2 linked regions of the Astyanax mexicanus genome follow. The protein of the gene in region 1 interacts with the protein of each later gene in a biochemical or structural test. Links are inferred from orthologs where the notes say so. Each region holds a gene or a part of one and is shown on either strand. Other genes may lie near its edges. The genes, in order: cebpa and trib1.

The links.
Region 2: the proteins of cebpa (region 1) and trib1 form a complex in vitro, tested with the Homo sapiens proteins (2 studies listed by BioGRID and IntAct, with this or other methods). The link is inferred for Astyanax mexicanus from reciprocal best matches to the Homo sapiens genes CEBPA and TRIB1.

Annotation. Positions count from the first base shown.
Region 1 is NC_064430.1:12,441,589-12,457,469, reverse strand, and holds cebpa (CCAAT/enhancer-binding protein alpha), read left to right. Parts: upstream 1-8,886; 5' UTR 8,887-9,187; coding exon 9,188-10,156; 3' UTR 10,157-11,667; downstream 11,668-15,881. UniProt on the Homo sapiens protein: Transcription factor that coordinates proliferation arrest and the differentiation of myeloid progenitors, adipocytes, hepatocytes, and cells of the lung and the placenta.
Region 2 is NC_064410.1:43,222,846-43,239,128, forward strand, and holds the start of trib1 (tribbles homolog 1), read left to right. Parts: upstream 1-9,759; 5' UTR 9,760-10,160; coding exon 10,161-10,487; intron 10,488-13,475; coding exon 13,476-13,768; intron 13,769-16,283. UniProt on the Homo sapiens protein: Adapter protein involved in protein degradation by interacting with COP1 ubiquitin ligase. The COP1-binding motif is masked by autoinhibitory interactions with the protein kinase domain.

The sequences.
Region 1 (15,881 bases):
GTTGCTCGCGGTTGCATCATCGCTCGCGCTCCCTCCCGCGCGGCGCTCAGGGAAACTCCGCTCGCGCGCGCACACACACTCACACTCACTCACAGCGCGTGGCTTAAAATTAGTAACAAACAGCAGCGAAGCGGCGAACTTTCTGCAGGCGGGTCAAAAACAATATTACAGAGTGTGAGATTCGGTTCTGCGGGGTTTAAAGGACTGCGGGGTTTAAAGGAGTCTGCCCGCTGTGCTGATAAAGCACCGATAAAGCGCGTTATCAGGCTGAGCTGAGCTGATGTTAGTCATACACTATTAGAGCTCAGCCACAGCAAGCTAACAGCTACGTAACTTCACAGGAATTACGGGGAATACCGCTAGCTAGCTGCGTTAGCTAGCCACTTTGTTAGCCTACTATTAGCTATGAAGCATTAGAGAGAGAGACTGTGTTCTTAACATACTTAGCAGAACGTTAGTTAGCTTTAGCTAGGCTATAAGTAAATAATACATTGTGACTAATGACTAATTTGACGTGTTACCTAACCTAGCTAACTACAGTTTACATCAGTGTCTAACAGTTATATCTGTCTGCTTACAAGTTAAGGGGTGTTCTGTCTAGTTCTGCAACCCATCGATATGCACTTCCTTCAGCACTGCGCATGCGCTGACCCTTTGCCCTTACATTTTTATAATTATTAAAAATATATAATTCTGTTTTACTCGGGTGTATTAACCTACACAACCTTAGTTTATTGTTATTTTTCTTGGATTTTTAGAATGTTATAAACGTATAACAGGCAGTTCATATAAAAACAAAAAGGAAAAAAAACTCTTGTAACCTCTATTATTTAGTATTATTATTTTTATTATTATGAACTTTACTTTATTAACTCAGACACACTAATTTAGGCTATCCAAATGTTCTACACAAACGTATTATGATAGTTATTTTGTATTTAACTTATTTAACGTCATTTATTTTACATTTCAATAGAACCTACACTAGAGTAGCAGAGTTTGACATTGGAGCAAAACTCGGCAGAACACAGGAATGAACTTGGTTAGCTTAGTTAGCGTTAGCTAGCTATGTTACATTCCAGTTAGCCGCTAGCAGACTAGCCACATTCCTAACAATAAGTACGGCTAGCTAGCTACATACAGTAGCTTAGTTACGTCAAAAGACACAGCCCTGCTAGCTGCTAACTAGCTTTAGTTTAGCCAGCTAATAACTAACTCGTGTTTTTTAGCTAGCTAGTTAGTGTCCTACAACAGTCCCCAATCTTAGAGTAAGTGTCATTAAAGAGGTTAAGTATAGGATATAATATTAGCTAAGCTAACGTTGTAACTACAGAAGTTGTGTTGCTGTAAAGCAGCAGTAATGAAACCTGTTCTGCGGTCCGGTTAGCAACAAGCAGCTAGCTACACAAGTTAGCCAGCTAGCTAACCGAGTATAGGACTACAAGGAATCTCTGTACTTAAAATTCCACTCCGGTTTTCTCCTCTTTCTCCCCTCAGACACACTTCTACCCGTCTTACCTGATCGAGGTTCAGATCCTGGGTTCAGTCATCCACTAAAACCGTGAGTAAATTCGTAGCCGCTCTAGTTGACGGGACAGAGACATCAGCGGAGCTGTTATTGTTTGGTACACTGAGCCGTGCCTGGCAGGATTGCGAAATCGTTTTTACCATGTAGGGAAGTCTGCCCGCTCAGCCAATCAGCGCTCAGCGCCGGGCAGGATGACGAAATGCAGCCTTTGACCGACAGCCCGCTGAACCAATCAGACGGTGAGACACAGTTCAGGGCGTGTTTATGTAACAAGAGAGTCATGAGATCATAGAGAGTGAATTATGCTCAGCTGGAGCGGTGCTGTTAGTGAACTGTGTAGAGTAAAGGTTCTCAACCTTTTCCACCTCACGACCCACCTGAGCATAACAAGAAAGCCCACAAGACAAAAGAAAAGAAAAGAAAAGGACAACTTATACGGCCATGACTCAATTACAGCTCTGGAAAAAAATGAAGAGACCACTTCAGTTTCTGAATCAGTTTCTCTGATTTTGCTATTTATAGGTATATGTTTGAATAAAATGAACGTTGTTTTTTTATTTTACAAACTACGGACAAAAAAAAATCTTTTAGAGCATTTATTTGCAGAAAATGAGAACTGGCTGAAATAACAAAAATGATGCAGAGCTTTTAGACCTAAAATAATGCAAAGAAAACAAGTTCATATTCATAAAGTTTTAAGAGTTCAGAAATCAATATTTGGTGGAATAACCCTGTTTTTTAATCACAGTTTTCATGCATCTTGGCATGTTCTCCTCCACCAGTCTTACACACTGCTTTTGGATAACTTTAGTCCACTCCGGGTGAAGAAATTCAAGCAGTTCAGCTTGGTTTGATGGCTTGTGATAATCCAGCTTCCTCTTGATTATATTCCAGAGGTTTTCAAATTGGTAAAATCAAAGAAACTTATCATTTTTAAGTGGTCTCTTATTTTTTTTCCAGCACTGTATTTTGTTCTGACACCTTAATAAGTCTTTCCCATGCATTAGGATCTTGTTCACATGCCTTAATAAGCAATGGCCACAAATTAATATATATTTTTAAGGCTCCATAGAGGCTCCATAAAAAATGTATATATAAAAATATTTTTAAGCTGTTTCCCTGTTGTCTGCGATGGTGACAGATGGTGACTTATTATGTTTATTTTGCCAAATTGCCTTTGGCATTACTCCAGCAATATGTTTCTATTTTTTGTTTTTCTATTATGTTTATGTAATTTTTATAGATTTTTTCTAGTGATGTTAATTGACTAAAAACTATTCTGTGATTAATTGTAAATAATCACATTTGTTCTTAATCCAAAAGAGGCTATCGTGATGTATGTGTCACAGGCCCTTCAAAAGCTGTGTAAAGTTCCTTACAGCACTATATAATATTTTTATTTCTGCTCCTGAAGTATCACTGACCTGTAGGGGTGTAGGAAAATACCAATATTGCATTGTAGTCCAGCATTAGGGTTCAGAACCACTCTACAGGACTTTAGTATTTTAAGGAGTTGCTTAATGGATTGGCAACCAGAATATATGAGAATAGACAGACATCACTAGCACTTAAATCAGTGGTTAAATTTGCAACAAATAGCATACTTTAGCAAAATTCCAGTAGACAGGCTGTTATGCTGGTAAGCTATGTTGGATCAAAATGTACCAGCACAACACAGACTAAAAAAAAGCAGGTTTCTAGAAGAAAACTCTTTATTAAAGCACCTTAATGGGTTCCTCTACTGCTTTAAACTGAAGAACCTCCTCAAAGAAGTTCTACTTTTAACAGAGTACCAGCTCTGAAACCTAAGGTTGGCCCACCAATAAGGGTGTGATATATTTTTGGAAAAGGCTGCTCACTAACCAACTGGCTTGCTTGCTACTATATTCATCCATATAATTCATTTTAAATTCTAATGGTGGGCTTATCCTGTTAAAACAAAAAAAAAAGAAAATATTTTTGTCTGTCTACTGAAACGTTGCCATGCTAGACAGACATAATGAGCTTTGTTAATGCTGTAAATTAAAAAATATAAATCTAAAACGCATTGTATTTTATCAAGAATTATTTACCTTTGTTATTGTTTACAGTGGTGACATGAGGTTAGACTAGTGTGTAGTTTGGTAAAATTAGCAAAAAATAATCAGGGATGGTGGGGGCATGTCTCTATAACTCTTGGAAATGCTTTACTTTGTCCCCAATACATTCTGAATTTCCCTATTGCCATTAGAAACCCATTCGGATGGAAACACACATTCTCTAGTGTAATCAGATATCCAGCCAGTATGCATTACTGGGCCAACTCTGACTTAGAGTCACCAATTTCAGCACAGCTGTGGGGCTGGATGGGTAATTATTATAGGAAATATTATTAATGAGAGCATATTTATGCAAATGTGTATCAGTAACTTGCATGGGTTGGTTCAACACAAATAACATTATTTTAAAATTTAATGCTTTAGTTAATAGTACAGCCCCATCCGGCATCCCTTTTTTAAGTTATACTACACTGTTATAACATAGAGAATAGATCAGTTCCTTTTATTTTTGAATGATATTAGCAGTTTTGGTCTTGTTATTTGGCTCTGCCCCATCATTTAGCACAATACTATACAGTGCAAGCATCTGTTAGCAGATATTAGAGAATTGGGAGACCAGCAGACAGTGTGACCTGAGGATCATTGGTTCCAATATTGGATCATAGTGCTTGCCATCAGCAGACGGAGTCTGAGAGAGCACAACTGACCTTGCTCTCTCTGTGTGGGTAGATGTCGCCCTTTCTCCCAGATCGTTCCTAATGTGTTGTTGGTCAGCACAGGCATCTGTTAGCTGATGTGTCGAAGCTCGGGTGCTGCACATTCCTCTGAGTGCAGTTGAGTGCATCCCCAGTGATGCTGCATCAGAGGTATTTTGATAAGAGGCAGGTTCTGACCCATAACACACGTATCAGAGGAGACATATGTAAGTCTTTACCCTTTTAGTGTTGAGGGGCATTTGTAGTGATAGAGGGAGTTCAAATAAATGGGGACTGGGTAATTGCCCTTACAATTTGGGGAGAAAATTAGGTCAAATTGCAAATATCCAAATGTGTTTAGCTGTCTAATGATGTCACATTATCAGCAGTTTAGAAAGCTGTAGTTGGACTACCCTGAACCATTGGGGTTTTGTAAGTGTAGTTAAGCCTGGACAGATTTGGTCATTCACTGTGCAGTGAATTACAGTTGTATGCCAAGGTTAAGGCACCCCTGGCCAAGATATCTATTACAGTAAATTGCTACATCTGTACACTGGGCATGTTTTCATGCATCAGGCTTGTTTAAGTGTTCTTTTAAAGACTTCTGAATCTGATGTTTGTGGCAAGGAAAGTTTTTCTTCCATCTTCCATATATTTGTAGGTGTCACTGCACAGTAGAACGGCGCACCACTACTTTAGAGTATGCTAAATATTTCAGAAATTTTAAGGTCTTAAAAACGAGTTGAAATAGGCTTTCCAGAAATCCAATAAGCAGTTCTCAACTTGACTACTTTAATTATTTTTATGAATTAGGAAATACTTTCCTTAAAACACTTTGCTTTGATTGTCTTGTAGCTGTTGATAGTTGAAGATATTTAGTCCTAGATAATTAAGTTATGAGACCTTAGTAAGAGTTCTCTAAGTGCTATTGGGTTGTACAATTATATTATATTATATTCATATAATAATACACTAACCCCTACCGTGATTTTGCTATTCTGTGTGTGTATTCAGTGCATGGAATCTAATATAACCATCACAATCATCTCGCATGTCACCAAATCAGAAAAGAAATCTGATCTAGGATCACAAATAAAAAGCTATTTTGACATTACCAGGATGAAGTGATTCAAATCAGGTTTTGTGTCAAATCAAACTGACACAGATTTGATTTTTTAGGGCGGTGTGAATATGACAATCAGATTTGACTACTTTTCACGTGTGTTCAGATACATATTAAATTTGTGAGGAAACAACATAAATGTGAACGCCCAGATCAGATTTAATGCATCTTTTTTTTAAAGCCCCTGCTTTAATCATAATTAGCCAGCACCAGTGTTGTGCTGAACTTTTTGTGCATGCATGTCAGTAAGCAGTATGGGCACAACAGATTATGCTTATGATTCCTGTTGTTTCTGTTTATGAATAACTATTATAATTAAACTTTCCTTCACAACAGCCACAGAGTCAGATTCTGTCAGGTAGTCAGATTCTGTCAGGGTCATTAATGAATGTGAATCATCAAGATCACCATTTTAATATGAGCGAAAAATCTGAATTGATTAATGGGTCCTGTAATGTGTGCAAAGTAAATAAATCAGATACAATACAGATAGAATAGATATGCAATATTGGACCACATATAAAAGTTACTTATTCAAATCTTATTTGAAAAAGTCTGGATGGCTTTGAAATGTCCACTCAACCCTAATACACATTAAGGCAAAAAAAATCTGATTAGAAACACTTTCTGGTAACGTGAATATGAGGCTGTATCCGTGTTTTAGAAAGGGCAAAAACAGAACTTGTTTAGTAGAATGTCTAATATTTTAACGTAATTGTTAGGAACTCAGCTCCTATTGACTGTGACCACAACAGTTTAATATCCAATGTATGTGAATATTAAGAATGTAAAACGTAGTCATCAGAGATGTATAGTAATGAAGTAGTACTTAAGTTTTACACTGATAAATGTTTATGTGCTGCATTGTTACTTATTCCAAACACACATTATCACTAAAGCCAGAGCGGCAGATGCTCTGTACTGTCACTGGGTTTGATGAAGGTGCTCATCAGTCATCACTGAGTGAATCAAGAGATCAAGCTGGTCTTATGAGAAGACCACACTGCTCCAATTCTGCATTTCACTCTGCTGCTTGCCTGTAATATTATATTCAAACTTTTGACTGCTTTTTGTAAGAACTACATAACACAATACTTTTACTTTTAGTACTTGAGTACTACATTTTGGAATAAACTAATTGCAGTACTTAAGTACAGTAAATGTTAAATACATTAATTGTAGAGCTTAAACTACACTTCAACTTCTACTCAAGTGACTTTTTTGATAGAGCACCTGCACTTTTTATTCAGGTCTCCAGTACTTTATACATGGAAGATAACATCATCATGCATAACCTACTAAATTGAGTAGTGAATTTATTGAATGGGTTAATGTGCAGTCCAGTTTATTGGAGGGTGTTAAACCTTTTATCTGTCCTATTTATGTTCACCATCTACAGTGTGGTTTCAGGAAATCTGTTAATGAGCAGCTTCTGACGTGTTCAGATTGTGTTGGACGTGTCTAGCATGACTTAGATTTACCCATAAAATGACGTTGTACATATTTACATTTCTAGCCAAAATATGAATGCCGGCCAATCAGGTAAATTATCTCAGCGGCCACCAAATGCATATTTTTTCCACATTGCTACATTTTTTGTTAACATAAAACGTATTGTTGCTTTTTGTTTAACCAACTTTCAGCTATTCAAACCTTTAAATTGTTTTTTTTTTACAATGTACTTGATTTTATATGAAATGCAATCTAAACTTTTTAAAGTTCATTACAGACAACAATGCAACCAAGACTTAGCTAATCATGCCAAGTCATTTAATTCAACATAAACAGAAAACAGTGTCCCACACAATGTCCGGTTATTGTGAAGATGTTTTTATTTAACGATCTCCTCGTGTGCGCTGTGTTTCCGAGTTTACCGTAACTGTTCCAGTCTGATACCGGTTATTACAGAAACAGCTCACGTTCTGGTGGGATGTGTATGTTAATATGTAAATGAAGCACTGGTGTCGCGCGCTGTAGCGGTAGAGGGAGCTCCCCGCTCGCCCTCTGCGCTGATGTGGGAGTGTGCGCGCGCGACCGTGTGTAGGCTATGTGTGTGCGCTATGTGCGCGAGTTTGTCGACGAGTTTGATTTGGCAGACTGAAGGTGAACACACGCACACACACACACACACACGCACACGCACGCACGCACACTTTTTGTGCGCTTTAATATCACACACGCTACTGATTTTAAGTTTAGATTAACGTTTATCATTATATGCATCATTATACTGTTTATTCATTTTTTATAAGTTTTTTTTATATTAGATTCAGCATCTATAAATGCGTTTTGGATTTCTAAGGTTCTAAACTGCTGAAAGCTGGCATTGAACATTTTTACTGCGTTTTACTGTGAGGCTGCAGAACTATCAGACAGAGATACCCACAGTACAACTGGTCAGCTGCGAAAGAACCAGTGCAGAATCATTTTGGTTCATGTTTTTTTAAAGGTTTGTGCTTTTGCTATTTTTTATTATTTATTTTATATTATTTTTATAGAAGGAAACTAACTTCAATAGATCAGGTTATACTATACAAATAAACTAATAAACATTTTATTAGCACGTTCCTGATCAAGTGTACAATTCAGTCGAATTAAACAGATACAAAAATTTAGATAAATTTTTATCTAAATTTTTAGCAATAAAGATTATTAGCGTGCAGATCAAATAAAAAATATGTATAGATCATATACATTATAACAATATCCTGTAGATATATACGATATAAGACTGTAGCTATATATTTTGTACATATACTAAAATATTGGTAAATACAAGCAATAGGCTATTTATTTATGCCTGGACAAGGATTAAGCCTAATAAAATACTATTTTATATTGTCCTTTTAATAGAGAAAATCTACATTCACAATACTGTGTAGTCCTAGATTTAAGACTAGACTTAATCCCTGTCTGTGAAACTGCCTATATATGTATTATCATTATTATTAGTGGTTATATATATTGATTGTTGCCGTTGTTCAGAGTGTGCAGTTAGGCATACAGCTTACTTACTCGTTCTGTTGCAGCGGAGTCTGCAGCTCTTTCTCTCTCTCTCTTTCTGTCTGTCTATCTCTCTTTCCCTCTCTCTTTTCTCACTTAATTTTGTGTCACTCTCTCCAAGTGAAAGTTATATTTATATAAGGCTAATATACAGTGTGTGTTATAGGCTATATAATATTTGCTTCGTTAAAACAAGACAGATGTGTGTTTTTTGGGGGATTTGCATGAACAATCTGAAGTCATATATCTCTTGGATATCTCTCTCTGTAAGTGTGTGTAAATGCGCTTAAAATCGACTCTCGTATTCAGAATATGAGGTGCTGCCAGGACTGCACGCTGTACGTGTGCGTTAGTTTCTGTCTCCCTTGTGTGTGTGTGTGTGTGTGTGTGTGTATGTGTGTGTGTGTGTGTGTGTGTGTGTGTGTGTGTGTGTGTGTCGCGTTAGGACCAGGGGCGCGGCCGTGCAGCTCGGCGCACACGGCTCTATAAAAAGCTCGAGCAGTTCGCTGTGTGTCAGACGGGAGGCACACGAGCTCAGTGAGAAGGTGCTGCTGCTCTACACGCACGCGCAAGCAGTCAGGCACGCACGCACGCATACTCACTCACTCACTCACCTACCCACCCACCTACCCATACGCACACACAAGTGCGCTCGCTCACACGTGCAGAGCGAGCGGGACCTGAGCGGGACCCCCGGCGGAGTGGCTGGCGCGCCTATACGCGGACGGACGGTCGGCGAGAGCCCGCTAAACTGGATTCCCGGAGCTCGTCACCATGGCCGGCGGCGTTTAGGTCCTCAATGGAGCAGCCCAACCTGTACGAGGTTGCCCCCCGGCCACCGCTCACCACCCTCTCTGCGAGCCCGCACGGCGCCTACTGCTACAAGGACGACCTGAGCGAGATCTGCGAGCACGAGAGCTCCATCGACATCAGCGCGTACATCGACCCAGCAGCGCTAAACGACGACTTCCTCGCCGACCTCTTCCACAGCAGCGGCGGCGGCGCAGGGGGACTTGGCGCACGGCACGACGCCAAGCTCAAGCTGGCCGCGGGTGACTACAGTGGAGGCTACGGGGACGGCGCGCCGCACGGCTACGGCTACGCGGGCGGCTACGTGGACCCGGTGAAGCTGGAGACGGCGTACGAGGCGCGCATGAGATCCGCGCTCGCCATCAAGCAAGAGCCGCGGGAGGACGACGAAGCCGGCCACGGGCCACCAATGCCGCCGCTGCCGCCACCAGCCTACCAGCACGCGCACCAACAGGGGCACGGACACCACCATCCTCCACACCTGCAGTACCAGATCGCGCACTGCGCGCAGACAGCCGTGCACCTGCAGCCGCCGGGACACCCGACGCCACCGCCCACCCCGGTGCCCAGCCCGCACCACCAACACCATCACCACCACCAGCAGCAGCACCACCACCACCATCACCAGCAGCACGGCGGCTCCATCAAACTGGTAGGAGGAGGAGGCAGTGGTGGTGGAGGGAGCGGAGATCGCTCCAAGTCCAAGAAGCACGTGGACAAGAGCAGTGTCGAGTACCGGCTGCGGCGAGAGCGCAACAACGTGGCCGTGCGCAAAAGCCGCGACAAGGCGAAGCTGCGCAACGCCGAGACGCAGCAGAAGGTCGTCGAACTGGCATCGGACAACGAGCGCCTGCGCAAGCGGGTCGAGCACCTCACGCGCGAGCTCGAGACTTTGCGCGGCATCTTCAGGCAGCTGCCCGACGGCTCGTTTGCCAAGGCGGTGGGCGGCTGCGCCTGAACTGACGGGGACGGTTTCTCTCGGTTCTCCCCTCTCGGTTCTCAGCTCCGCTACTCACAGCGTCCGCCGGATGGACTTCAAAGACGCGCGACACGATACTGAAAAAAGTGTTTTCCACACGAGCCAGGCAGCTGCGGTCTACATGTGCCTTTTGTACAAAAAAAATATTATTAATAATAATATTAATATTAATAATAATAATAATAAGCTCATGTCTGCACATATTTGAACTTGTGGACTTCATGGCTGTATTGAAGTTGTCTTTTCTGCCAACATATCATCATCATAGTCATCATCAGTGCAGCTCACGTAGGGCATGATTTCACTTCAAGCAACCGTCCTTCATGGTTCTGAAAGGTACCAACTTTTTCTACCATCACCCACAACCTTCACCCACCACCTTCATCCCCCCTCCAAGACTGTCTTTTTATGTTTTATTTTCTGCAAAGATAAATCTGCTCTGCGTGCACGAGCCTATTTGGTGTTATTTCTTAGAGACAAATACACAAAATGCACGTGCACAAAAAAAAAAAAAAAAAAAAAAACTTTGTTTTGTTGTTCTAAACATCTGCAGACATCGAAACTTGTTGAAAACTTGCAAGGCAAAGACATAGAAATAAAGGTGCGCAGATCAGATAATCAGATGAACCATAGTTCAGTACTGTAGTCTGGGATGTATTTTGACTGTAATGATGTGGTCTATGGGGGGCCGGTGGTATTGGGGCGGTTGGGGGGTTATGTATCTGTATGTATGCGTTTTTGTATGTGTACGTAAAGCGGACTGAACATGATGCCAATGCCATGCCAAAGCAAAAGGACTGGAAGCCCAAACTCTCTAAACTGTGGTCTAAACTGCTGCCTTCAGAGCAGCGGATTTATTATATGCACTATGTGTGGTCAGACTGATGGACCTGACGGAGCGCACGATTTTTTCGGGGTACTGATGTGTACAAGCTTTGTATTTATGCAGTAACGATGCTGGGTGGAAGGGTGTGTGTGAGTCTGTGTGTATGTGTGTGTGTGAGAGAGAAAGAAAGAATAAAAGAGTGTGAAAGGAAAGAAGGGGTCACCCTGCGCTTTCTCATCCCACCCCACCCCCGTGAAGTGCTGTTTGTAGCTCAGTTCATGTTCTTGTTGTTTTTTTTATTGTTTTTTTTTTTTTTTGATGAACTGAATTTCAGTGCCTTTCGACTTTTCCTGTCTCTATGTCACCACTGGCAGAACTTGTTTCTCTCTCTTTCTCTATGTCCCTCTCTCTCTCTCTCTCTCTCTCTCTCTCTCTCTCTCTCTCTCTCTCTCTCTCTCTCTCTCTCTGTTTCTATCTCTATCTTTTGGACTCTGTAAATCTTTGAAATACAGGCTAGAGCAAAGGAAAAGGAAGCACTTTTTTACAAACCGCCTATTGCAAATGTTATATGAATGTTTTAAAAATACTTTTTTTTTCAATTGTAAAATGAACATTATATATGCCAAAAATTTACAAATTATAATAAAAAGAGTATTGTGTTACATTTCCTCTTGCTGCTATCTTACTTCCATAGTGCTTACAAAGGTCAACAGACCTTTGAACTGATACGTGTGTTGGTATCTGTGTATTTCAGCTTCAAGACATATTTAAGAACCAGTTTAGTAAAAAAAATTATAATAATATATACTCCACAAACTCTAGACTTGGTTTAGAAATTGTTCAGTTATTAATCCTAATGCAGAAACAACTGTGAATGATTTGGTAATCATTTAGTTTAGCATATCATTTGGAGACCTACAGGGTTCAATTTTGGGGGCTATGAAATTGATGATAATTACGACAGCAGTGTTGTTATTAGAATTGTGGGCTTATACACAGTTTAAGGAGTTTAAGGGGTTAACTGCTAGAGAAAGAAATAGAGCATTTACTATAATGCTCGTTTGACCACTTATTAACTGTGTGTTGTGCTAACATGCTGTAGGAGACCCTGCATGTTGCAGTTTAAAGGTTACAGTACAGTAATGATTCTAAAGCTGAAGACTCTGAGTCTCTTGAGGATCAACCCCCTGTTGCTCTTGCCTCTAAGCAAATCTACTCAGGTGCAGTTATACTGTTTGCCAATAGACGGCGCCTGTAAGTCGCCTGACTTCTTTAACTTCCATGAGTCATGTTGAAAACACTGCTGATTACAACTCTGTAACTCTGGCATTGTTTTGATACAAAGAATACAATGCAGTATCATTAAAAACCCACCATGTCTAGATACAGATGTAGGTCCAGGTTTCAACACATTTACAGTGTGCAAAACTGACAGACATTCACTCTTTAACTGTATTCAAATGAATCCACAGCCACCACACCAAAAACAATTGATGCATTTACCTTAGAAAGTGACCAATTCTTACATTTACCATCATTATATTCTACAGTGTTCACCTAAAGGGTTAGATTCCATTCTTTATACACACATTTCCCTCCAAAAAAATTTCAGTCCACACAAAGACAAAAATGAAAAAGAGAGAAGCATTAGATAGATAGATAGATAGATAGATAGATAGATAGATAGATAGATAGATAGATAGATAGATAGATAGATAGATAGATATTTTTTTTATTCTAAAGAAGCACAAACAACAATAATAGGGGCGGTACAGCATAATTAAAAAAATAAGGTGCAGTAAGAAAATTAAAATTTCACTGCATACATTTTGAAAAATATTTTCACCTACACAAAGAGACAGAAAAGAGAAGAGGTAAAACTTTGAAAGAAAGAAACTGAATGTTTAAAACAACATATTTCCTTCTAAAAGAAAGAAAAAAACAGCTTTCCCTTGAAGCTACATACACACATATCTGGTTAAAACCAAAAAATCCCTCTGTTTTTTAAAAACATATATTTTAGTCCCCACAGAGAATTAGAAAAAAATAGAAAGAAATAAGCATTAGAAAGAATTACAGATTTACATTTAAATCACCCTCTCTTTTCCCTTTAAAAACAAATACTATTTCCACTAATACTACATTTAGACACATCTGGATATGTATTAAATAACTGAGATTTGGTTTCCTACATTAAAAAAATATATTTCTATCCACATGCAAACACAAATTATAAAGAAGGACGCATAATACAGAAATACGTTTGAAAAAGTAAAACAGTAACTCTCTCCACCTCCACCTAAAAGAAAAGACTGCTTTCCAAAACAGATATTTTCTCCCCTGATATGTTAAAAATATTTCAGTCAACACAGAGATTAGCAGAGTAACTTACATTTGAAACCCATTTCCCTACTCAAAAAGGAAAAAAAAAAACTTGCATAAAATGAGACATCAGGGTAGAAGTTTAATTCTAATACAGCTTCTTAAAAGTTGTGTTCCGTGCAAGAATTCTGGGTTTTAATTAAGGGAATCAAAATAGCGTACTATGTATTTATAATAGAACAAGCAGCATTTACATGCATTCATATTCATATTCATATGTTCTGAACAGCCTGAAAGCTACTGATATCAAAGTGTATACGTTGTAGTTTTATGACTTATCAAGTTAAGAAATTTCATTGTCAATTCTGCATATTGTCACTGTCCAATGAAAAGCAAGTATCTCCAAAACAGCGACTTTACAGGAAAGAGAAAAAACCTTCTACACTTTCAATGGAAGTCAATGTAAAATTGACTTTCAAGTTTCAGGGAATTTGAAGTATTTCTATTGGTCCGTTCATCAAGACATTCTGACAGTTTAAGGGACAGTTTGTTCAAATTCTGTAGTAAACTAAAAATCAGCAAAAATGGAGGTACTTGTTTTTCATTGGACAGCGATGATATGTACATTACAGAGAACTTTGGTTACTTTCTTTCCCAAAGTTACAGAAAAACACCCAACAAAAAAACAAAGTAATAGTTGACTAAAGTACTGCAAAATACAATTATAAATCATAAAAGAATGAAAGTTTATAGACAGACATATGTCAGACAAGAGACACTAGACAATAGTGCAATAGCAGAAAGGTGTGTTTTGTGACATCAGTGTTTTTTTATTATTAAAACTAATTTTCCCCAATCCACATAACAATAACGAAGATGGAGTTCTCTAAAACTTCTCCGCCTTGGGTTTTTTTTTTAGAGATTCCTCAAAGCACCTTAACCCCTTTAACCCTCTATGTAAACCCACATGTCCAATAACAACACTGTTAATAATAAGTATCATCTATTTCTTCAAGGGCCTTAAAATTGAACCCTGTAGGACTCAAGACCTTGAGGGAAACTAGCTCATTAACAGTTGTTTCTGCATTGGGATTAATAACAGAACAATAGCTGAACTGAATAATAATATATTGTTATGGCTGCTATGGGGTTCATTCATAGTTTCAAATGGAGGAGCCTCTAAAGTTCCTAAAAGTGATTGGACTTGATTGGACCGGATTGGAGGCTCTAAAATCCCCTTAATCTTGTTTAAGCAGCGCAGTCAGCGCTCCTGAGTGTGTCGGTGGTAATCATCCCCTATAACAAATATTTACTATCAGCTCTTACATATGCTGTAGATCACACATTACACTGCTGCGTCATCGGCGGAGCTGATAGCCGCTATCTTCCTGACCGTTCGTCAACACCAGTGATTGATTGGGGCTTTTGTCTTCATCTTTGAATTGATCAATTTGTCAGAGTATGATCAACAATTGAACACCACTGATAAGCACAGCAACTCCAAAGAGGCAGATAGAGTGAGTGAGTGAGTGAGTGAGTGTGTATGAGAAAGAGAGAGAGAGAGACAGAGAAAGAATTAAGCCTAATGCCCGAATCAGACTACACGAATTTAGCCCGATTTCGTCGGATCCGTGTAGTATGACATACAGGGGTTGGACAATGAAACTGAAACACCTTTCATTTTAGTGTGGGAGGTTTCATGGCTAAATTGGAGCAGCCTGGTGGCCAATCTTCATCAATTGCACATTGCACCAGTAAGAGCAGAGTGTGAAGGTTCAATTAGCAGGGTAAGAGCACAGTTCTGCTCAAAATATTGCAATGCACACAACATTATGGGTGACATACCAGAGTTCAAAAGAGGACAAATTGTTGGTGCACTTCTTACTGCCGCATCTTTGACCAAGACAGCAAGTCTTTGTGATTTATCAAGAGCCACGGTATCCAGGGTAATGTCAGCATACCACCAAGAAGGACAAAACACATCCAACAGGATTAACTGTGGACGCTGTAAGAGGAAGCTGTCTGAAAGGGATGTTCGGGTGCTAACCCGGATTGTTTCCAAAAAAACTTAAAACCACGGCTGATCAAATCACGGCAGAATTCAATGTGCACCTCAACTCTCCTCTTTCCACCAGAACTGTCCGTCGGGACAATAAGTTATTGTGGTCTAAAACCAGGTGTTTCATTTTCATTGTCCAACCCCTGTAGTCAAAGAGAAGTTTTCTGGACCAGCGAAACAGAATAAAAGTTTGTTGAGCTGTGGCATCAATACCCTGCCTTTATTCTGTTTATATTCTTTATTTATTTATTCTGTTCATTCCTTTATTCTGTTTCCATGCACTGAAACCTAGCTAAAGTAGCTACATCTTTACTATACCTCAAGTTCTCTCTGGAGTACACAAAGCCCTTGATGATCTCTTTGGGTCATCCAGGAAAGAGGCCACAGTTGCTTCTTCCTCTTCTTTTTGTGTTTTTCTAAGCACAAAAGCACTACCATCACTCAAAGCGCTTCGGTAGCCATGATTGTCAGATTCTATGCTCCTCTCCCGCGATGAC
Region 2 (16,283 bases), on another chromosome or scaffold:
GTGTCCTAATATACAGTATTTGTCCTTAAAGAATACATATTCTTAAAAAAGAGTGGAATAGTACATTCATCCAGAACCATTGTTATGTATTGTAATTTTACAACTATATAGTGGAACAATGGTCTAAATGTTTGTTCATCAAAGAGATCATGTGGAGATCATAAGTTCAAATTCCAGCAAGGGTTCATCACTTTATTGTCAAAAGCCTCCCAGTCTTGGGACATCATGTAAGAAGAGTAATAAACACACTCAGACTATAAATCTTACAAAACAAAATTAAGCTATTTCAGCTGAAGCACATTTACTAATGTTTCTGAGGCCCAACTCAATATGTTTTGACAAAAAATGTCAGTTAGTAGAATGTCTGGCTAATCTTGTCAGGTCTGGTGCTAAAAGCACTGCTGTCTCTCCCACATTCAGCGCTGCAGACGATCTCCAGTCTCCCAACTACACTTCCCAGAACACACCACACTCTGACATCACGCACTCACCTGTTCACCTGCCACCACCCGGAAGCCCTGAATATTGATTACCCACACTATAAAAACCCCCTTCACTTACACTTTGTGCCGAGTAATCGATTGGTTAGCCCTCATTACAAAGCATATTCTGGTTATCTATATTTTTGATCTCCTGGTTTTGACTCTCTGGTTTGTTATTCTCGATTCTGATTTTTGCCTTCTCCCTATTGTTGGAACTCTGTGTATTACCTGGACTGTTACCGTTTCTGATTGTTTGGATTATCCTCTCTTGTTTGCCTCCCCGTGCATGAACTTTGGACTGTCCCTCACTCTGGTTAGTGCTTTTCCTCTCTGGTTGTTGTTTGCTCCCGCTGACCTTATATTTCAGTCTGACTACCCTGTTGTTATTATTGATATCTGCTCTATTTAATAAAATATTCTTTATACTGCATCTGCGCTTGTCTGAGTATATCTGATCATTACAATCTAAGTTGAGTTAACTTAAAAACACTTCTTAAGCAATTACTTAACATGTATACAGGGTTGACATTGTCCAGCTGAGATCATGGAAGAATGAACAGACTTTGTTTTTCTAACATGCAAAATCAATTACAGTCGCAAAATTCAAACAGCCTAACTTTAGCTGTTTGAAATCCAATGCCATCGCGTGTTTAGCTTTATTTGGCACTGTACCGACTGAAGTCCACAGCCACTGTATGTGGGAACTGGATCATGTAATCCATAGAGATTTCAAAATCTTTTATTACCCTGCTAGTGAATGCTTCTACCTTGGCAACAGTCCAGGACTCATGCTGCACATACCTCCAGTTGAAATGCAGTGTCTGTGGAGAGGGGCTAGCAGCTAGATTAAAGCAGGGCCGGGTACGTTTCGCAGTCTGCTGGACTCCAGCTGGGAGATAACACTCCCTGGCAGCTCGCGAGCAGCCGGGCTCGGCAGGTGTAGGAATGCGCTCAAACGTCTACTGTATGTTTCATTTTTGATGCCGCCCTCTCTTGACGTAGTTGTAATGTGTGCTGGAAAGGCAGCTGCGGCTTAGAGTAATTGCCTGGGGGCAGCGAGCTCAGGGCCCTCCCAGACTTTTGTGTTGAAGCCCAGAGCAATTAGTCTGACTGTAGTAGTCAGAGCAAAAAACAAGGCTCACACATTTCATCACTGTCATAATCAAATCTGGCACCTTCGTTATTTTAGGCAGAATTGTAAACATTCCATCATGAGAGGACTAACAGAAATTGTCAAAAATCTGTATTCAAATAATGTACTCTTGATTGGGGTGTAAAACGCTTAGATGACTTTTAACAAGCTTATTAAAAACCCTGTTATTTTGCATCGGAATGAAATGTAGACAAGCTCTGCTTTTATTGGCAGGTTTATATCACAGCCCAGAGCAACCACACATTATATCCAAGCCTAACCTAGCATAGCTTAGAACATAAACAACAACACACACACACACACACACACACATTATGACATTGCCCTGGGGATATACAGTTTTGGGGTCCGTGTTGCCATCTCTCTCAAGTGAAGGATGAGGCACAGTCTTTTTGCAAAGGTGGGGGAATCTTGGGTCTGCCCCACACCATGACGCACAGCCCCGGTCTGTCCCAGCTGTCATGCATTGGACTGATTAGGCAGCCAGATGGGACAGAGCGGGGCTGTGCGACATGGCGTGGGGCGAACTCAGGATTCCCCCACCTCTGTATATCACAATACATATACATATTCCAAAGCTGCACTGCACCAAATAACTTGATTTGATTGCCTGCTGTAAGCTTTTTTGCTACTCTAAAAGTTGCATTCTGATTAATAACAGTATCAGTATCAGTCCTTGCTTTAGTGATCTAGTGTTAGCTTTTAGCCTAGCCAAAAGCTCCAGTGCAGTAGATAATAGCATTCATCTTTGCTTCAGTCACTCTGTCTCAATTTGTAGCCTCTCTAAATCTTCCAGTGTACCACATAAGAGCATCAGTCCTTGCTTTAGTGGCATAGTGTTAGCTTTTAGTCTAGCCAAAAGCTCCAGTGCATTGAAAAATAGCATTTTAGCTTTTATTCACTCTTAAACCTCCAGATAAGAGCATCAGTTCATTCTTTAGTCCTAGTGCTATCTTTCAGCTGTTCCAAAAGCTCATCAACAGCATCGGTCCTTTGCTTGCTTTGCCTGCTAGTTGTTAACTTGGGTAACAGCATCTGATCTTGCTTTGCTCACCTAGCTTTAGCTTTTAGCCTTTCCACCATTGTTTACATGGTTTACATGGTTACATGGTTTACATTGTTTAAATTCTGAAGTAGTAAATTCTGCATTTAGACACTAGATAGTGACCTTTTTGTACGCAAAAGTTGGGGGAAAATACAATCTGAGGCTGTGGAATTTGCACATTTAACAGCTCTATTGTACTCAGGCGAAAGAGGACAGGAAAACAGTTTGAGGTTCATGGTCTGTCATCACTTCCAGTTTCAGACACAGCTGAATGACAGTATTATGGTCAATAGCAGCGTTCTTACATAAAGCCACCCCTGTCAGAACACCTGCTGAGCTGAGGAATGTTCAGCATTCAGATCACCTCCCAGTTTCTTGATTGCCTCTGACAAAAACTGCCCATGGTTAAAGTTCAGCTATGATTATGATGCATCAGTCTTGTCAAGGCCGGATCTGCTGGTGTTAGTCATCGCTGGCGTTCAGTGTACGTTGCCTGTAGAGAATAACTTACACCTGCTTCAATTGCCTGGTGCCTGGCCACTCTGTGGAAAGCATGATCAGCAGGTTCTCTTTACTGCTGGCAGTGAGTGAGTCAGCTAATTACAGTGGAAAAGAACCTTGAACAGGACTCCCGAGTGGAAATTATCTCAAATGGCCAGGTTCACTGGAACACACACACACACAAATATACACAGACGCTGCCCAAAACACTTCTCCCAACACCTGTTTATGTCACAACAATGTGGAAGCCGACATTTCCCATGCAGGTCTGGGAAAGCTTTACACAGAAGAACCGAGGGAAGGAAAAAAAAACAGAAGCGTAAAACCTGTTCTGCCTGCATTACTGTATGACCAATACACATATCACAGCCTGAGTCATCTATAAGAAAAGATCACTGAAAACATGCCTACTATAAATAAACTAGCTTTTCATGGCAATATTCCCACCACGTTCTAGCCTGACGGCTCATTTCCACAGCAGCTGTTTGTAAAGTGTTCGCTGAAGGCGGCCAGGAACAGTTGCAAGCAGCAATTATAGAACCTGCTCCCTCGCTCTTTTATAGCATGTGGCATTGTGATGACAAAAAGGTCAATTGTCCTGCATTCACTTTGAACATACAGTAGAAAACATAGCTCACAGTAGGGGTGGGCAGTATGGTCTTAAAATAACCTTATAATAACATGTTTCAGGGTATTTTTGTAATAATGACATTCTAAGTCAGCGTTTCTCAACCTTTTTTCTATCACGACACCCTTCAAATATATGCGAGATGTCACGGCACCCCAGTTTACCGGGGTGGGGGGGGGTGGGGTGCTGGCGCAGTACTTCAGGTGAGAACGGGGGGGTGGGGGGATTGGGGGGGGTGCTGGCGCAGTACTTCAGGTGAGAAGGGGGGGGGGGGGTGCTGGCGCAGTACTTCAGGTGAGAACGAGGGGTGTTGCTGGCGGAATAAAATAGCGCGTGCATCGCGTGGGGGACAAAAACTTTACAGTGTGTCCCAATTTAGGGGCTGCATCCTTCAGAGGCTGTATTCGAAGACAGATTGCGTCACAGCTGCGCAGTAATACACCGCCTCTGTGGGTCGCATCCTTCAGAGTATGCTGCCTGTGAATTGGGACACACCCCGACACGAGCTGACTCTGGAAAGGAAATATGCACGTGAGGCGCAATATTTTGACGGCACCCCCGATGAAGCCAGACGGCACCCTGGTTGAGAAACACTGTTCTAAGTTATATGGCAAAAACACTGAAAAATACTGTAGTGATTTCAAGAATATATGAGCACAACACAACAGTATACAGAAATAGAGTCTATAAACTTTTGTCTATTTTGTAAACAACAGTATGTAAAACTCTAATTTGGTATAAAACAATAATAATAATAATGTAATACAACAAATGATGTAATGTAAAATATTGTAATGCAACAAAAACAAATTGACCACAATACAAACCCAAGACCAAAATACACTGTGAATAAGTATAACCTGGAAACATATACAATTATACATAATTATAGCAATTATAAAAAAAATTTATACCATTTTCTCCCCAATTACCCAACCTACTTATATGGATTCAAAACACTTATATATACCCTTAAAGCTTCACAGTAAATAGCAAAACAAATGCAAAATAGAAGAATACAACTACTCTTATGACATGTTTTTTTTATTGTTTCAAAAATATACAAACATCACTGTGTACGATACGATATATGGCACACCCCTAGCCCACAGTTGCTATTGACACATTCTTTAATTTCACTCTATTATTGATTCCACCTGTCATAACAGTACTTTCAGCACCAAGTCAGCAATAAATCTTTCATTTTAATGGTGCAATAGATCCAATCAAAAAATGCAAAGCCTCATTAGTCTCATCTCCTCAAACAAATTAGGTTCTGATGGACTTGGTGATATAACAAGTTCGCTGGACACACACACACACACGCACACACACACACTGCATTCCCAACAGAATACTTTGAAGACAGTGGCCCTTTCTGCTCAAGCAAACAGGTGCCTGTCCAATTAATCCTTTCCCCAGTAGAAGCCAATGAAACGGGGACAAAGGTTCGTGCAGGACGTCTAAAAACCTGGTCAACAGTCCATGTGGGCCAATACATCTCTGATTTCAAAACACTTTGACATGCACTTCCTGATTTAGGTCACACTCTCGTTCTCCAATTAAATGTGCCAGCCAAGGTTACAGTGTGTCAGCTCCAGAAATTACACTTTAACAGCCTGGAACAAAGATTTATCTGGTGCCAAGCCCATTATAGTGTTCACCATTAGCCCATCACAAGTGCTATAAAGGACCCATAGTGTGCAAAGTTTTGGAAGCTTTTGTGGAAGCTTTTCGTACTTTTTAAATAAAGCAATTATATAACTGCTGTTACAGTGATAAAATGTCCTAATCTATTCACAGTCCTTGCAGTTAATATTTCTAAATCTAAATAGCATTTAAAACAATGATACAGTGGTGTGTGGATTCTGTACATTTTCCAAAACAGCAAAATAAAGAGGCATTTGTCACACCTTCCAAGTCCTCAATAACAAACTTTTCCACCTTAATGAACTCTAACCCCCAGAATGCACTTCTCAGTCATGTGTCTCAGCCAGCCTATCAGCACCTAATTAGTAGATCAGCATCACCTGAGTTTTGATTCCATTCAGCTGTCCTCCCATTTAGAAATACCTCTCTGTTTGTTCAGCCTGTCTTGAAGTATTTCCCCTGTTGATTCAGCTGCATACCAAGCATTATTTCTTTGTTTATTTCTGTGTATGACCTATTTTTTTGTCTGGCCCCTTTAGCTAGTTTACCTTGGTATTTTTGCTCTGTTTTTGACCCTTATTTTTCATCTGTCATTTATCCCTCTTTTTTGGTTCTGTTTTTACCTTAGGCTGTAATCAGGCTGCATTTCTTTGGTTCTGCCCTGTATATTAAAGTCAGACTTTTTTAACTGCAAATGTCTCACTCCAGTCTGTGGTGTTACAATATTAATACATGTTAATAGTTAATGTGAATGTTTCTGAATTCAGTTAATTAGAACAATCAACAATACAATATATTATAATATAATATACAATAACATGTTTTAATATATGCTTAATACACATTGAGCTTGGCTTGAGTGTTAGAATTAGAATAAAACATTCCAACCTTATATCTAAAACACAGCTACAGCTAAACATACAAGTCTTAATGCAATAATACGGTTCAAAAAGCTATGATGTAATATAAAGGATGCACATTGCAAACTGCAAAAACAGCTCTTTTGTATACATTGCAGCACACTACAAGGCAGGTGATCAACCAATCAGAGCAAAGTTATTTACACATAAGCACAGCAAGGTTTATTTAATTTCTTTTTTTCATTTTAATTAACTTCTTAATTTAGCTAACCAATTTAACCCACCCACACATTGGGACTCTCTCTATCACTTGAACTATTGCCAATGAGTCAGTATGCTCGGAAAAAAAGCTCCCAATTCCAGGAGACCAGCTCTGATACATCAGAGAACAGATGCCTGTGATGGCCAGTATGACTGTAAGAGTGATAAGGAAGAAAATGCCAACGTTGATAGCCCAGAATGACCTGGGATTCACACTCGTGATCCTTCAGGTCATAGTGACTTATTTGGCTGAGTCACTCAAGCTGGTTTGCTTCTAACAATAAACTTACAGTCCACTTGCACTTTTCTCAATGCATTTCACCACGCCAGATCTCTTGGGTCACCACATGTGGATGTGTCTGTATTTTTTTTTTTTTTTCATGAAAATGAAGCAAACCTAGAAGTAGGCAAACTTTATTTGTAAATTAATCATATTTTTATTCTGGAAATCCAGATGCTGATGATGTAAGCTGTTTCGTTATGTTTGAAAGACATTTGTTCTGTGCATGATGCTATGATATAATATGGTATGATGCACCAACCTACTCTTTCTTGATTATACACAATGCGACCAAATTCATTCCCAGGCTGCCCTTACTCAATATGACTTGTCATCCACTGTGCACATATGGAGGCTGTCCTCATTAGAATAAATATAATACAGTGAAGAGGCAAGTGAAAATTTTATGTTTTAGCATAGGGGTTCTCAATTGGTCTCAGCCTGGGACCAATTTTCTCATGGTCATTAAGTTGCAACCCACTTTTATAGAACACACTCCAAAATTGTTTTTAAATAGCCTCAAAAAAACAATTTAAACATACATATGCTCGCAAAATGAATTTAAGAGCATTTTTTTCTAATAAACTGAGGAGGAACATGACAACTACATAGGTTAAAAAAATAAAAACTGCACAAAATAAAAAAAGGCCACACTGAAGTGTTTGTTTTTTTTGTGCACCAGGAGTGGCATAAATATATCCAAAAGCAGTGTGTAAGACTGGTGGAGGAGAGCAGCCAGAATGCATTAACACTGTGATTAAAAACCAGGGTTATTCCACCAAATATTGATATCTGAACTCTTTATGACTCTTTATATCTGAACTTTATGAACATGAACCTGTTTTCTTTGCATTATTTGCGGTCTGATAGCTCTGCTTTTTTTTTGTTATTGCAGACATTTCCCCTTTTCTGCAAATAAATCCTCTAAATGACCATATTTTTATTTGGAATTTCGGAGAAACGTTGTTTGTAGTTTATAGAATAAAACAACAATGTTAATTTTACTCAAACATATATATATATATATATATATATATATATATATATATATATATATATATATATATATATATATATATATAAATAGCAAAATCAGAGAAACTGATTCAGAAACTGAAGTGGTCTCATTTTTTCCCAGAGCTGTGGGTGAGAAAAAAGATCCTACAAAATATTACATACGGTCTTGTTGTCTATTTGTCCTGTCTTGATATGGGCCTTTAATTGGGCCAATTCACAATCTGTAAAAACACTGACCTGTCCAAACAAAAATGATCTGATCAGAACTCATCAGCTTATTGCTAAGGCCTTCCTGGATCAAGTGGATCGGGTGTATCAGTTCCTAAAATTAAGCAGGGCCTCCATGCAAGGGTCTCCTGCACAGACATCAGGAACCCCTGATTTAAGCCATGCAAACCATCTGAATCATAGACTGTATATAAAGATGGACGTCGTGTCGCCGTTCCCATTCATTCAATGAAAATGAAGCCAAAATCTTCCGCCATTTTGGCGATTCAGAGACCAGAGTCTGCACAGTAGAGACCAGAGGAGGGAGAAAGGCTGTGGAGAGACCGCCTACTCATTTAAATAACCCCGCCCCTGAGGGCTGCCTCGCGGTCACAGACTGCAGAGCGGGGCGGAGCGGAGCTGACGGTCTGTTATTGGTCCCGCCCATAAGCAGCCCTTTTACCATAACCACACCTTTTTTGAATAGAGCCGAATAAAGTTTTAAAAACTGAATTCTGTGGGGATATAAAAATTTGACAATATAAGCAGAGGTTACACTAGCTGTTGCATTTAAATAATGGAGGTAGAATTACAGTATATTAGAAAAAAACGTGATTGAAAGTTGTCTGTTTTGCCATTGAAACCTATGGGGATGGGTGGAGTTACACAGCTTTCTGCAGCCGAACAGCAGGGGGCGCCCGACCTGTGGTGGCTTCACTTTTAAGAGACGATGCTCTGTCCAGCTATATACAGTCTATGATCTGAACCATGTTAAGCGCTTGGCCTACAAAAGGCACCTCACCACTCCCCAGCTTTTCCTCTCAGAGCAGAGATGAGTCACATGAACAAACAGGCATCGCTTAAACATTCCTCTAACGTCCACCATTGCTGCAGTTTCCTTTAAAACAGATGCACTGTACACAGGCAGGAAAGCGCTGGAAATCACGGAAAACGCCTTAAAGAATTTGAAAGCTGTGCCGCATCTGAATGAATGATGAATTAACGAAGAGAAAAACAACAGCAGAGCAGCAGTGCGTTTCGAAATAAACTAGGTTAATCATTGCCCCAGTGCCACACACGTGTTTCCACGAGGAACACATTCAGTGAAAGCTGTGTGTTATGAAGGCAGGCTTCAGTGTTGTTAATGTTGTTCTCCTGTGAGATACATGATATGGGATATGTGCAGGAGCAGCAGCAGCGTGTCAGATAAATCCTGTACATCCTGCAGCAGTTCATAATTATTACTATCTGAGAGTGGCAGCAGAACCAAATGATGAAAATGATAAAAAAAAAAAAAAAATCTAACTGAAAGTGGAGTTTTGTCATTCACCGCGACTCTGCTTGGCTACGTGTGGCTGATTGCTCAATCAAGCTGAGCTCATTATGTGACATGGGAAAAGCGAGCTGAATGGCGTTAGGTGGTTTATTTTTATATTCCACCCGTTTTCAGCAAACCCCGCCTCTTGTGCATTCTTATTGGCTGGCAGCATCCAGCCTCCTGCTCTGTACCTTATTGAAAAGCGCTAGTAATTAGTACTACAAGTGCGTGTAGGTGCGTGTGAACTACTACCGGCCAATCCCAGTGCGAGAGGCGGACGCTGCTAGCCAATCCGCTTGCGTGGAGGGCGGGGTGTACCGCAAAACGGGTGCGTTCGAAAAATAATAACGCCGCTCTAAGCGGGCGGAGTTCCAGCTGTCGTCGTGTGCGAGAGCTTCAACATCACACGGGCTTTTTAACGGAGCGGCTGCGGAGACCGGGGGTTTCTGGAGGTCGTCTCTGTTTGTGTTTTGTTTCCTGGGATCAGCTGTCCGTCCACACACTCCAGACTCGGCCTGAGTGATGGACTGAACCCGCTGAAGCGGCTAAAAACAGCTTTGTTTTGCGACTCGACTCCACTTTTTTTTGTCTTTCAGCGAGAAAAGTTAGTTTAGCTAGTTAACCTCTCTATTCTGCAGGAATATATGACTGTCTGAAGTCGTGAATGTGACACCACGGAATACCCCCCTTTTCCAAGGACTGACACCCACCCCCTTTTACCCCTCTTTCACCCGCTCTTTTACCCCCTCGGCTCCACCATGGTCGTGCACGGCTGCAGCGGCACCACCACCACCAGCAGCCCGGCGCCCACCTGCGCCCGGCCGGGCAGACGCGCTCACAAGCGCCTGGACAGCGACGAGCCAGTGGCTAAGTGCCCCAGGCTGAAGCTGAACGAGGCGGCTGCGGGCGACCCCGCTGCCCTCGTGCCCTCTCCGGGATGTCCTCCGAGCGGAGCCTCCCCGGGGTCACCCCCGGTCCCCCAGGGTCCGTCTCGAATCGGCCGCTTCCTGCTGCTGCCCCTGGCCGAGCGGGCAGGGCTCCACAGCGCGCTGGATACAGTGACCGGAGAGGAGCTGCTGTGCAAGGTGAGCTCAGCTATTTAACTAGTGTTTTGACTGACTCCTGGTCAGCACTGAGCGGATCAAACATCAGCATTATGATAATGAAGTGTAGTAATGCATTTATGCTATGCATTAAAATGACTCTGGTGTATCTGGTGAATAAGGTATGCACTCTATATATATGCTATCTATAAGGTGCAACGTTATATATATAGGCGTATATACTGTATACACTCATTCATTTCAATCATATGATGAATCATATATCATATATACATTGAATCATCTATACACTGTGCAAACAGTTCTAGCTATACACTGCAGGGCTGTATGAGTGGGAAGAACCTTGCAATAAATATCATGATACATGACGATAGTGTTATATGTTGCAATGCTGCAAACAAACCAGAATACCACAATTTTTAAACAATAGAAAGAAATTTCATGGAAATTCTCACAGTATAAATACACACCACAATATACATATTCTGAGGAAGAGTAAAGTTTGTTTTATGCAGTCTGAATATTGATACTATGTTGTTGAGATCAGTTTGATCAGTTGAATCAATCTGGGAAAAAAATTGGAGACCATTTCAGTTTTTGAATCAGTTTCTCTGATTTTGCTATTTATAGGTATATGTTTGAGTAAAATTAATTTTTTTTTAATTCTGTACACTACGGTCAACATTTCTCTCAAATTCCAAATATAAATTTTGTCATTTAGAGCATTTTTTTTTTTCAGAAAATGAGAAATGGCTGAAATAACAAAAAAGATGCAAAGCTTTCAGACCTCAAATAATGCAAAATGCAAAAATGTAAGCAGTTAAACTTGGTTTAATCTTAATTTAATTTCAAAGGTTTAATTTGGTAAAATCAATTTAAATGGTAAAATAATTTGTAAGTGGTCTCTTATTTTTTTCAAGAGCTGTAAATATATTGTTTCTTACACTCCTTATAAAAAGGTTGATTACATGGAGCAAGGCCTGATTGCACACATCACTGTTTGAGGTGTGCACTGTGCAATCAGTGATTCACACTGTAGGTAGGATTGGGCAATATTGCAAAATTATTATATCCTAATACTCAAAGAGATATTGTATCTGTCCAAACGATCCCAAACAAAAATCTCTTCCAATAGAAATCAATGTAAATCGATTTGATTGAAGTCAGTTCATTCGTCATTTATACATCAGGCACTCATGCTAGATTTAAGCTATCCCACAATGTGAAAAACTGTGTATGGCAATAATTATATGCATAATTTTGATACATAATCATCATGCACTGGTGGTGCCAGATTTAAAAACCATCAAAAGCTCCGGTACAACAGATGCAATTGGCTTTCAATTAATCAGGACTAATTATGCCATCAGTAATTAATTACACACACAAATTGAGTTGTTCACTATGCACTGTCAGTAGCCATGGAATGCTCAGAAACCATATTGTCACAATAACAACATTTTACCATCATATTATCCACCTCTGCTTCAAACCAAAGCATTTTGTGGAACCAACTGCTCAGATTCTTCTTAGCTCAGCAGTATTGCTTTGCCAACAATTATTAATTCGCTTCATGGCACAGTTCCGTTTTTTTATTCGTTTTTTTTTAGGTAGGGATCTTCACATATGGTTTAGCACATAAAGGATATAGGCTAGAGCAAATTCAATGTGTGTAAAATGGCCTTTCACTCAGAACATTTCACTCAGAGCATTTCACACACAGTCATTTCACCTGCCTGCTACTCCATGCAGTTCAAACTCTCCAACCCTTAGCTTTAAGCATAGCAAAGACTGGCATGCTTCCTCTAATCTTAGTGATATTGCTTTGCCAAGCATTAAACGCAGGCATCACTGCATAACAAGGTCTATTTTAGACCTAGAAGCCACACATGCAACCCATATAGGCTGCAGCAGATCCAAGCGATGTGTAATTACCACTAAATGTGAGACTTCACACCCTCCATTGTGTTGATAGGAGTTATTTGCATGCGTCAGCCACAGAGAGCTGAAAAAGAAGAAAATATTTCAGGCAAACCAAGGCTGGCGTCGTGCACAAACAGAAATAGACATTGTGCCTTACACTATAAATGGAGAAGTGGGGTCAGGCTGATTAAACAGCCAGCAGTCATTGATCCCTACTTGCTGATGAGCACTGTGGTGCAGGCAGGCAGATGAGGCTAAGCCTGGCCTTCAACAGTAAGCTGTCTCCATCTGACAGGGCGAGGGTTAGTCTCTCATTCTGTTCACATTAGATGAGTTTTTTTGAGCATGATCTGTGCTGATTAAGAGTCTATATTACGTTTAAGTTTAGCTGAAAATCCAAACTACTTGGAAACATGGTTCATTCTTGGAAACAGGGGGCTACTCTGGTCTGCTACAGCTGTAGCTCATGGTTACCTCAGACAGTAATTTCTATGCATTTCCCTTTTCTTAGAAGACCTGATGGCTAAAATACACTTATAATAGGAGCCAGAGGGAAGCTGTTTCAGAATCTGGCCATTGGCTCCCATTATGAGTGATCTGAGCCTATTTACTTGCTACAGGACTAGAGTGCATTAAAATTACAGCCTGTAGGCATCGACCCTGTGCTACAGATACATCAGAGAGAGAGGGAGAGAATTAGCTTAAAGTCTTTCTTTAACCCCTTCTTTTTTCATTTTTCATTGTTTGCTGAGGACACTTACAAATGTAGCACAGAAGAAACGAGGGGTTTTAGCTGAGTTTAACCAGTGCTAACACTGATGATATAACCAGGCCAGTGCCTATTGTATATGGCATTTATATATACTTATATATATATATGTATTTTATTTTGAGCACATAATCCATTCTGTATGGCATTTAAACACAGAAAACTGACTTGTTGACATTCTCATGGCTGAAAGGGTTAAGCAGTGCCTTGCTGAGCTGGCATTCATTTTTTTTATCATTTGATTGCTTCATGTGTTGTTGTTATTCCTGACTCTGCCTCCACAGCAAATAAAAGCAGTGCTATGTTGTAACCTACAGGTGTTTAATATGGGACAGTACCAAGAGAAGATCAGGGCCTACAGCATGCTGCCAAGGCACAGGAACATCGCCCAAATCAAAGACATTGTCCTCGGGGAGCGGAAGGCTTATGTGTTTCAGGAAAAGGACTATGGTGACATGCACACCTTTTTGAAGAGCTGCAAGCGGGTGCCTGAGGAACAGGCAGCCAAGCTCTTCTATCAGGTGGCCTCGGCTGTCTCCCACTGCCATCAGGCTGGCATAGTGCTGGGGGACCTCAAGCTCCGCAAGTTCGTGTTCTCAGATGAAAAAAGGTGAGGATGGCTGCAAGATTGAGAATTAGTTTGTGAGTGTCTTTGTGTGTTTTTATTGTATTATTATCTCTGAGAACCCTGTCAGTGTCCAATGATGGGACAGCATTGAAGGGACAACTTGAAAAATAGCTCTAGAGAGGGGACTTGCTTCTTGTCCTCAGTCCTAAAAGGTTTGGGTTCAGATAAGGTTTAAGTTTATGTTTAAGTTTAGGGTTAGGCACCCATTGCTGACACAGTGGCACACAAACAAACACATACACACAGATTTATCTAGTTCCTGTAGGGAATTATTGCCGCTAGAACAGGACTCGCTGGAGCAAATAAACCTATTGCACCTGTTGACACTATTCTGACATTGTGTAAAAGCAACCTATCCAACCATTGTATGTGTGTGGAGGAGGGGTGTTGGGTTTAGATGTGCAGGTGGGGGTTGTTAGGTGCAGCAGGAGAGCCTGTGGTCACTCAGGGCTGTAGACTGCAGTATTCCCAGCAAAGAGAAGAGCGAGAGGGGAGCATCAGTTCTGGTTTCATTCAGCTCTCACTTCCTTTTGCCTTTGTGATGCACCACAGGTGCTTCTGCGGAGCCTTTCAGCAAATGGATCTCTATACTATGGCACTTACTCATGTTTCTGCAGAAGAGGAAGCGCAGAATAAATCAGAACTGTGGCTGTTCATGTTTCATTAGAGAATAGCTTGTAGAATGTTCTAAATTTTGTTTTCTGTTTTGCAATGCAAACACACATGAACTGACCGGTTTGTTTTAGAGGGGGTAGTCACGATACAGTGGTTACGATATATAGTATAATGAGATATATTATATATGTGATATGTGAGTACAACACTGCTCTATATTGTTTGGGGTTTAAAAACAACACAAAAGGAACCACTGTCTGCCACCAATATTTATAAATGAACTAATAATTAAAAATAAAAAATGTGTTATGAAAAAAATATATCACAATACTTTGATATATCGATATTTTCTTACACCTTCAGATTGTCCTAAATTTCTGTGCTGTTTTGCAATGCAAAACACACAAGAACTGGCCGACTGTTTCTGAGTAGTTCTTTTGCTATAGATTTTTTTATTCAATAACCAGTGATGTAATACTATTGTCCTTTAAACTAATGCCCCCCTGAGTACAGTAGTAGTTTTTAAACGTATCACACTTTTCTACACCCAAGCTCTCCACATTAAGCTTATGCCCCGTGGTAAAATGGAACGGGTACGCATCTAGCGTTCAGGAGTGTGGATACATTTGTCATTTCTGGGGCAGCATTTTCAAACGCGACCTTTGGGCAGTGGTGCAGTGTGAGTGAATAGAAATGGACAGGCATGTGCAAGAGGCCAGAGTCACCCGGCTCTTGTAGCGGTGCGGGTGCAGCAGGATGACTCATACCATTGCAAAGGGTGGGTGGGTTTGGCGGAGGGGGGGTTGTGGACTTGCCGCTCTGGATCCTCAACCTGCAGGCTCTCAATTCCTTGGCCAAAGGCAGAAATAAGCCACAGAGAGCAGCAGAACTGGCTGCTGACATTGCGACACCCCGCTGCCAGCTTCACCCATCCGACCTGTCTAACCCAGACAGTGTCATAACCTGAGTATGCTGACATTTGGGCAGAGATGCGGGTCAAAGCCGCAGCTAGGTCACCCTTTTTAAAACATTTTCTTCCTGTTCTGTGCTAAGCAAAGCAACAAAGCCTACAAAACTGCACAAAAGAGGAATAATCTGCTTTTGTGAAGGACTCTGCTTTTGTCTTTCGTAGATCCTGTCACACACATTTGCTTTCATCCTGTTTTCTCTTTTATTGTTTTTTTCTTTGTCTTTTTGTCTGTGTCATGCACATGGAATTCTTCTTCGCACGAACGATGATGCTCAGGTGCACAAACAAACAGACAGAGATAATGCGACTGCGACACCCATACCTCAAATAGCTTGGGTAATGATATGAAGTGATGATAAGTGATAAGCAGCAGCAGACAGAAGAAGTCAAAACAGTGGTAAATGAGATGAGGCAAAACCTCAAAAACATGAACATATACAGTACAGTACTGTTCAGATGCTTTTAGCACCTAAGTTTTACCTTAAGTAAAACCATTTTTCACAGCATTACGAGTGCTTTTCATGGAAACACTAAAGCAAATGGGATCAAATAATATTAAATGCAGTAAAAAAGTGAAAGTACTTAAAACATCAAATTCTAAAGAAAGTAGTTGAGATATTGTGAGCTAGTTTAAAGAGTTGAATAAAACTTCTAAAATTCTATCACCAGCTCACATGATTTAACATCATTAAGCACTCATTTACCAAACCAGATATTGGATCATACATAGTATAAATAATCTAGTATTGTAAATAGTACTAGACACCATGAGGTGAGATAAACACAGTGATGTTAAAACACCGCTTTTTGTATAAAATTGCATTTGTTCTCCTATTAGTGTTCTCCAAAAAAACATCCCTATTGTGATAATGTGAAAACAAGGCTGCACAATAGAAACAAATCCTAACAAAC